Xenopus tropicalis: one gene and its partner. The main gene of each other region encodes a partner of the protein of the gene in region 2 in a complex. Links are inferred from orthologs where the notes say so. Each region holds a gene or a part of one and is shown on either strand. Other genes may lie near its edges.

Region 1 (4,320 bases), on a different chromosome or scaffold from region 2:
TCGTAGCCGTTTACGTCAGGAGGCAGACCCTCCGATCTGTTCCAATTTCCTAAATAAAGTAGTTACGTTTCTCAGCAACATTAGAGGAAAGGCAGGTGTTAATGTATCAGTGGGAACACTATAGTGCATGTAAACAACCAGAAAAAGTGACTGAAAGTCAGACTTCCCCTTTAAATGTAACTTTAACAGATAGATCTGCCACGACACTCTCTCGTAACCTCCCGCCCAACAAATCTAACACTGAAGGCCCCTATGCAACCCATCAAGACCAGAACAACCCAATGGTAATTACTAGTACCTATGGGTTTACATGGTTCCGAAATGCCCCAGTGGTACCCCAGGGACCAAAAGATGCTTTGCCCAAAGGTTTTTGCTCAATAAAAGCAGAGTTTTCATGCAAATCTGTCCACCAGAGGTCACTGTTTTTAATGCCTTTGAGGATAAGGTAAGCTCATTAGAGCAAGCATCCCTTATAAACAGATTTATGTGTATTATTATTCCAAATCGGTAACATTGCCAATGACGTGAGGTGAATCGGAGACAAATATTCTGCTTCTGACACAAACAACTGCCGAGGGTGCTTTGCAGGGAATCCCTAAAGCATCACATTCATCTGCACAACAACAAAGGGACTACAAAGGCTGCTATAAAGGGTTAAACCTGCGGGGGCACAAAGGGTTAATATCAGAGGCAGGACAATGGCTGGAAAATAACACAGTAGATAAATAAGGCCGGTGACAGACGAGAGGCCAAAGCCCGACCAGGCCTGACACTAGCCGGCTAGCACTGGGAGAATAAACAAGAGAAGGGTCACGGGATCTGGTTCTTCCGGAATCTGCCAACCCCTCTCTCCGAGATCCCCAGGGCTCCTGTAATCCTGCGGCGTGTACAATAGGGCTAGCACTGACACAGACTGCTATATACAGATACAGCCTGCATGGGGCCCGGCCTGCACCCAATCACAAGGGGATATTCGGGGGAAGGGAGGGGGGCTGCAGGACCTACATACAGGGGGAGTAAGGCTGAATCACCCCCAGAGAATGGGGGAGCGATGATACGGAGGGTGGAATGGCTACGGGAGGGAGGGGGGGGGGATGTACCGAGGAGGCCTTGCTTACACAATAGCTGTGCAGTGCAGGGATCCCAAGAACTGGGCCAGCGAGGCAATGGCAACAAACCCCTCCCTGCCCGCGTGTATGGGCATCACCTGCCCCAAGCTCTGGCACAATGAGGCGGCAGGGCCCGGCTGTACTGCAGCATGGGACAAATGGCCCCATGGGGGGGCAGAAGGGAGACAAAAGGGGTAGTAGGGGGCACACAGAGAGATGATACTGCAAGTGGATAATGAGGGATCCCAGGGGTGTAAACTGGAATGGCGGGGTGCTGAGCTGCAAGGGGACACTGCTCTGGGGGGGAGCAGGGGTACCTGGCTGCACTGAGTACTACCAGCAGGGGCAGAGGATAAGATGGGGTGAGGCAGGGGCAGTAGGGGGGCAGAGGATAATAAGGGGTGAGATGGGGCAACAGGGGTGCAGAGGGTTATGTGGGGTGAGGCAGGGGCAGTAGGGGGGCAGAGGATAAGGTGGGTTGCGGCAGGGGCAGTAGGGGGGCAGAGGGTTATATGGGGTGAGTAGGCAGGGGCAGTAGGGGGGCAGAGGGTTATATGGGGTGAGTAGGCAGGGGCAGTACTGTGCCTAGGATACAATGATAGGAGGAAGAGTAACTAATGGTGCAGAGGGATGGGGGGGTTCAGAGGGATGGGGGGGTGCAGAGGGATGGGGGGGTGCAGAGGGATGGGGGGGTGCAGAGGGATGGGGGGGTGCAGAGGGATGGGGGGGTGCAGAGGGATGGGTTCAGTGGGGAGATGGCAGAGGAGGGCAAGGGGTAGATGTGTGCAGGCAGGGGCAATAGGGTGATGGTAGGGGTATTAAGACCAAGACCAGGATGATGGCAGAGGCAAATGTGAATAGAATGGGGCAAGTAAGGGCACACTGGGGCAATTACAAACAGACTGGTGCAATGAGAGATGGAGAGTGCAGTGGGACGCAGGCAGGGGCAGTTACAGCCAGGCAGGGGCAGTTACAGCCAGGCAGGGGCAGTTACAGCCAGGCAGGGGCAGTTACAGCCAGGCAGGGGCAGTTACAGCCAGGCAGGGGGGCACTGACAGGCGCAGACAGACACAGGCTGTAGGGATGACAAGGGGCAGAAAGGAGCAATGGGGGGGGGGGGGTGCAGCCGGGGTGTCAGGGAAACACAGCCCAGGGGGTGAGTGAGGGCCCGGGTATGGGCGGATAAAGGTGAGGGCCCGGGTATGGGCGGATAAAGGTGAGGGCCCGGGTATGGGCGGATAAAGGTGAGGGCCCGGGTATGGGCGGATAAAGGTGAGGGCCCGGGTATGGGCGGATAAAGGTGAGGGCCCGGGTATGGGCGGATAAAGGTGAGGGCCCGGGTATGGGCGGATAAAGGTGAGGGCCCGGGTATGGGCGGATAAAGGTGAGGGCCCGGGTATGGGCGGATAAAGGTGAGGGCCCGGGTATGGGCGGATAAAGGTGAGGGCCCGGGTATGGGCGGATAAAGGTGAGGGCCCGGGTATGGGCGGATAAAGGTGCCGGTTCCCCCGGAGGCTTACCTGAGTGGGAGCGGTGTCGGACGGTGCGGAGCCTGGGCGGGTTCGGTGTGACAGCCCCTCCCTTCCGTGCTGCCGGCTCCCTGTGTGTGTGAGTATTCCTGTCACCCTCCGGAAGCCGCTCTCTGGCTCCCCCCTTCCTTCTCAGTGCGGTTACCCTGGCTGCTCGGGGTTTCTTCCCCTCACTCCAAGATGGCGGCGGCGATTGCACGGGGTTTCCCGGAACAGCCGTCACGGGCCGACGGGAAGAGACAGAGGGGTGGGGCCAGCGGGGCGGGGGGCGCGCCCGGGAGCGCGCTTCATTTCACGCAGGGGTACGGGGCGGGGTGGGGTCACGTGTTGCGGAGAAATGGTGACGTGGGGAAGCGGCGGGGGCGCGCCTGCCTTAGTTACTGGAAACGTCACAGCGCCTGAAATGGTGTCAGGGCGCATAGTTTGCTTTTCTGTGGTAAAAATATGTCCCATCTTGTACATAAACAGGTCCCATTGCTTTATATACACTTTTAGATTAGAGAGTTATGTTATCCTAATATTGTGTGGTAATAAAGGTGCCCTTGCAAGACTTACTCTGTACAGACACAAGGCCTGCCATGTTGCCTCACAACACGTCCAAGAGCTTGCACTTCTTTTGTGGAGGAAACTAATGCAACCTCTTGCTGTAGTATTCTGTGGTTAGAACCTACAGTACTCTATTAACTGCTTCAGAACCTCTTGGGAATCCAGTACAAGCCCTTTTGCTCCTCATTACAGACCCAAGTCAGCCCAGGGAATTCTGGGATTGATGCTCATCCTAACATTCTGTGGTAAAAAAAACCCACCATGGCTGCTGCAGACAGGGGCGTAACTATGGAAGAAGCAGACCCTGCGGTTGCAGGGGGGCCCAGGAGTGCAGAGGACCCCGTAAAGCCCTAATAATGAGCAATTTTTATATAACTTGGTGAAAAGGTCAATTTACCAATGTTTTGGGGCCCAGTAACATCGAGTTACACCACTGGCTGCAGAACCTTACCGATAAAATTGGCCAACCACAGCTGGCCTTCATTTCATATAGACTAACGTGGTAACGTGAAATAGCTCCGCCAATTTGTACTTGACTAACGGTACCAAAAATTGCAGTGTTAGGGTAAGAACCCACGGAGCGGTTAAGTCACCCGCGGCTTCGGATTACCGAATCGATGTGAAGGGCTTTACACCGGTGACTTCTATTGTTGCTGATGGGAAACCTTTTGTAGAGATCTATCGCGGGCGACTCAACCACTCCATGGGTTCTTACGCTTAGGGCTAAGGGGGGTATAGGGAAGTAGTTGCTAGACATCTTTTTGGTTCTAGCCCCTACTCATTGGAACAGTCTTTATACAGGGCTCATAACCAGGTACCGGCAGGCCCGGACTGGCAATCTGTGGGTTCTGGCAAATGCCAGAGGGGCTGCTGTAAGGTGCCACTATTTATTGGGCTGGGGGGGCTGTTTGTGCCTCTGGGTACTGGGAATGCCAGGGGGGCTGTAAGGTGCCACAGACAGTCACTATTTATTGGGCTGGGGGGGGGGGCTGTTTGTGCCTCTGGGTACTGGGAATGCCAGGGGGGCTGTAAGGTGCCACAGACAGTCACTATTTATTGGGCTGGGGGGCTGTTTGTGCCTCTGGGTACTGGGAATGCCAGGGGGGCTGTAAGGTGCAACATACAGCCACTACTTA
Region 2 (4,507 bases):
CACCACAGGAATCTCCCAAACTGCAGAAGGAGGAGTCTAAAAGGTCCCGCAAAAGGCATTCCAAAAATAGAGAGGTGCACAAGTATGCATGCCAAGACCTATATAAGGCTCCACTAAACTATAACAGAATCAACCCTATTTACTTTCTAAAACTTTCTATTTCCTATTCTATTGCATTGCTTGTAGGCTAAAGGTGGCCATAAACAGAAAGAGTTAAGATGGCCATACACGGGGCAATTCTAGCTGCCGATATTGGTCCCTTAGACCGATTCGGCAGCTTATCGACCCGTGTATGGGCACTAATGACGGGCCTGCCCAACCAACATCTGGCCTGAAATCAGCCAGTCGGATCAGGGACCACATCGGCTCGATGCAGTCCCAGAACCGACTGACCCCCTATACCCGTCATTCTAATTCGATCGTTTGGCCCCAGGGCCAAACAATCGAATTAGCCCGCTATCACCCACCCATAGGTGGGGATATTGGGAGAAGATCCGCTCGCTTGGCAACCTTGCCAAGTGACTGGATCTTAGCGTGTATGGCCACCTTTAAGCTGCTGATTAAGGCCCTTCAGACCAATTCAGAAGTCTTTCTGCCCATGTATTGGACCCTCCGACAGGCCTACCCGACCGATTTCCCATCACTTCAATAACTCGTATTCCCCTATGGCCAAACAATCGTTCTAGGCTGTCAGGGAAAAGATCAGCTTTTTTGGCAATCTCGCCAAACAAGCAGATCTTCTTGTGTACGGCCAGCTTTGGAAAGCTTAGCAACGACTTAGTGAATACATTACAGAATCACTGGAAACACACTGTACTAAGTGGGATGCAATATTCTGTCTAACTGATCTAGTCCCATGACAGCTGCAGTATCTCCGCTTGTTTAGGGTTCAGCCTCACGACTTTTAGGGCTCTGGCACACGGGGAGATTAGTCGCCCGCGGCAAAACTCCCTGTTTGCGGGCGACTAATCTCCCCGAGTTGCCTACCCCTGCCATCCCACCGGCGAACATGTAAGTCGCCGGCAGGATGGCAGACGCGGCGGGGCGATTTCAGGAGTCTTTTTCGGCGATTTGCGCGAAATCGCGCCGCCGTGTCTGCCATCCCGCTGGCGACTTACATGTTCGCCGGTGGGATGGCATCTTTTTCATCTCTACTAAACTCCAGCAAATACCCTGCCATAGACAATACTGAGAATTGCCTTTGTAAAGCACACATAGAGACAATTATCAGTAAATAATCAGCATTGTCTATTTCAGTAGCCATGACAAGTAGCTGCTACTAGTAGCTCTGAGTGTCTTCACCCTTAATGATGACACAATCAAAAGGACTTTTTGCTACTATTAGGGCTCTGGCACACGGGAAGATTAGTCGCCCGCGACAAAACTCCCTGTTCACAGCGACTAATCTCCCTGGATTGCCATCCCACCACCGAAAATGTAAATCGCCGGTGGGATGGCATGCGCGGCGGCACGATTTCAATGAAATCACGCAAGTTGCTTCGAGAGGAAACTTGCGACCGCGTATGCCATCCCACCGGCGATTTACATCCCCGGTGGGATGGCATTTGGGGGAGATTAGTCGCCCGAGACACAGTCCCGGGCGACTAGTCTCCCCGTGTGCCAGAGCCCTTGTTGAGACAATTTACTTCAAAAGTCACACTATCACTTTATTCACAAACCTAGTTTGTTACAAGGGTACCAAGTTCCCACAGCACCCATTAGGGTGAAGACACACAGATCTACTAGTAGCAGCTACTTGTCATGGCTACTAAAACAGACAATGCTGATCATTTACTGATAATTGTCTCTACGTGTGTTTTAGCAGAGGCAATTCTCTGTATTGTCTATGGCAGGGGATTTTCTGGTGTTTGGTAGCTGTGACAAGTAGCTGCTACTAAGTAGCTCTGTGTGTCTTCGCCCTTAAGGTGCCCATACACTATAAGATCCTCTTCACCCGATAACCCCACCTACGGGTGGGCGATATCAGGTAGCAAGTAACTTAAAAAAAAATAATCCGATCATTTGGCCCTGGGGCCAAACGATCGGATTACATTTGTGGTTATGGGGCAATCGGTTCGGGGACCGCATCAACGAGCCGATGCAGTCCCCGATCAGACTGGATTTTCTAACCTGGCCGATCGAGATCTGGCCAATTTCAGGCCAGATATCGGTCGGCCAGGCCGCTCTGTTCTGCCCATACACGGGCCGATCAGCTGCCGAATCGGTCCAAGGGACCAATATCGGCAGCTATAGTCGGCCCGTGTATGGGGGCCTTTAGACAGACAGACGTGCATCTGTGCAGGGACAAGTGATTTATCATCTGTACGAGCATTCTGCACTCTGATGGATATGTAACTATAGGGGCCCCTGTTTATTGGCTGTTGGGGACATCACAGCAGTTGGTTTGATAGGGGCTGCTGGGAAGAGTAGTTGAACACTACAAGCCAATACTTACTGGACTTTCCTCCTGTTCCTGCTCTGGTGCAACTCCCACAGGTTGAGCTCCAACTGCCCCAGGAACTTGTCCATCCCCACCAGGGCTCGGTGCATAACTATAACTCTCACGGTGCAGCGCTCCTGGTTATCATTGTGTAACAGGGGCACTTCGAAGGTGGCCTCCTCCTTCCACACGGGAGCCTGGCTCTTCTCGGCCACAGTGGTGGAGTACTTCTCTTTGCCCAGCTGGATGATGGCGTACGCATCGTTGCTGCCCGCTTTGCCTTTGGGCTTCAAGCCTTTAGCCTGTAATACGGTTACCTGGACGTGAGTAGGGAACCAGGTCTGGGACTGCTGAGCTAGAGACATCTTTGCCGGCGGTGCGCTGCCTTCACCTGCAGTACTTTACTTCACTATATGAGGAAATGGGGCGGTACCGACGAAATATAAACTAGTGAATACGTAGGCGGTGCTCCCATGAGACTCGGCCTCTCGTTCGCGGAGGGGTAAGTGTGAGAGGCAGTCCGCCGCCTACCAACGTTGCTTAGGAACTTTTTGCTCCACCGTCAAACTGTTTGGCACACGGTGACCAATAGGAGCGAAGCTGAGTTGCATACTTTTTTTTTTTATATAATTTTTAGGGCCGCCTCTGGCACCAGGACCCGCCCACAAACAGGTGTAATACAGAAACGAGTCTTGGAACGCAGGCCAGGTTCTCACGAAGTATTGGCTTGTACCTATGAGCTGGGTGATAATATATGTTGGTACATATTGCAGTCTCTTAAATAGGAATACTTACCTACTGGTAAAAATATAATTTTATATTAGAGCTCACTGTCGAAAGTAATTCTGTTCAATCCTATGAGATTTTTAGAAGAGTTTTTATCAGAGGGGAAGTAACGCGTCTGAAAATCCCATAGGAAGGAGTGAGCTGTAATTTCACACTTTGATAAGTCTGCACTTTGCTTATATATGATTATAAATACTGTACCAAGAAAATTTGTGTAGGGACCCATAGGGTTAATGTCGCTATGGCTTTAAACCCTACAACTTTCCTTCAGCTCGCCATACACGCAACCGATGATATCGCACGAAATGGCCAATGGTCACACAAAAGATCGAAAATCGCCACGTTTGTGGCCACCTTTAGTCTGTGCTGTTACTGGGCAAAGACCCATGTATCAGTTTATAGTTTTGCATATGTGTCTTATTGGCACTCTGATATAGTCTTAGCAGGGGAGTGGGTCTTCCTCTTTGGCTGCATCTGCTGACCCTGGTGGAAGTTACACTGAGCCTGGGATCAACAGGGCCCCAGTAAAGCCTTCTACCCTAGAGGCTGCATCTAGCTCTAGTGATGTCGGGGACAGGGACCCTGTGAATGAGGAGTAGGGAGTATCAGGATAATTTATAAAGAGCACTTTCTAGGAGTGAGATAGTGAGATTAGTTAGAAAGAGCAGTTTCGGCTCCAACCAGGAGAGATTAGCTGGAAGTATTCTTCCCTACAGGCATTGTTGCCTTAGAGCAGGGCCACAGTTAAGACGCAGGTACCATTTCAGTTCCTATCTCTGATCCATAGTTAGCTGTGAGGGATCATTGGCTGCTAAGGGACACCCTGAGGATACAGATACTGGGCCAGGCTACTCTCCACAGGGAGGTAGTGCTGGTTGGTGGTCCTTACCTTCCCCACCCTCGGCCGATGTGGGCTATACGGGTGGACACCATATTTTTCTACCTTCTGTGCAATTGCCTGATATCTCCTCTGTGTGAGTATTGCTATAACCCTGTGAATTATTTTCTTGGACAATAAACAAGTTACACTTTGGTTTACCACAAAGAACCTTCTGGCACCCATTTGTTTTTCTGCACTGCACACAGCTACAGTGAGTTGTAGTTGCATTACACCGTAGCTCAATTGGTCACTTCCATATAGCGAAGGCCCATCCTGAAGGATTGAGTCGTATGTACCCCATGCTCTAAATCTACACTAGCCGTGCTGTTGGCTTGATTACAGCCGAAAAGGGGTTACATGTGTTTTTACATAAATTCCCAAAACAATTGATCACAGCAATG

The links.
Region 1: the proteins of rab11fip1 (region 2) and rab14 are in contact, whole or in part, in a crystal structure (PDB 4D0G), measured with the Homo sapiens proteins. The link is inferred for Xenopus tropicalis from reciprocal best matches to the Homo sapiens genes RAB11FIP1 and RAB14. Residues at the interface, in NP_001002814.2 of Homo sapiens: Glu1252, Ile1255, Asp1256, Asn1257, Leu1259, Val1260, Met1263, Pro1267, Asn1268, Leu1270, Arg1271, Ile1272; in NP_057406.2 of Homo sapiens: Leu28, His29, Ile44, Gly45, Val46, Glu47, Phe48, Gly49, Trp65, Arg72, Arg74, Ala75, Val76, Ser79, Tyr80.

Annotation. Positions count from the first base shown.
Region 1 is NC_030684.2:9,741,450-9,745,769, reverse strand, and holds the start of rab14 (ras-related protein Rab-14), read right to left. Parts: upstream 2,803-4,320; 5' UTR 2,630-2,802; intron 1-2,629.
Region 2 is NC_030679.2:118,972,979-118,977,485, reverse strand, and holds the start of rab11fip1 (rab11 family-interacting protein 1), read right to left. Parts: upstream 3,037-4,507; 5' UTR 2,806-3,036; coding exon 2,456-2,805; intron 1-2,455. UniProt on the Homo sapiens protein: A Rab11 effector protein involved in the endosomal recycling process. Also involved in controlling membrane trafficking along the phagocytic pathway and in phagocytosis. Interaction with RAB14 may function in the process of neurite formation.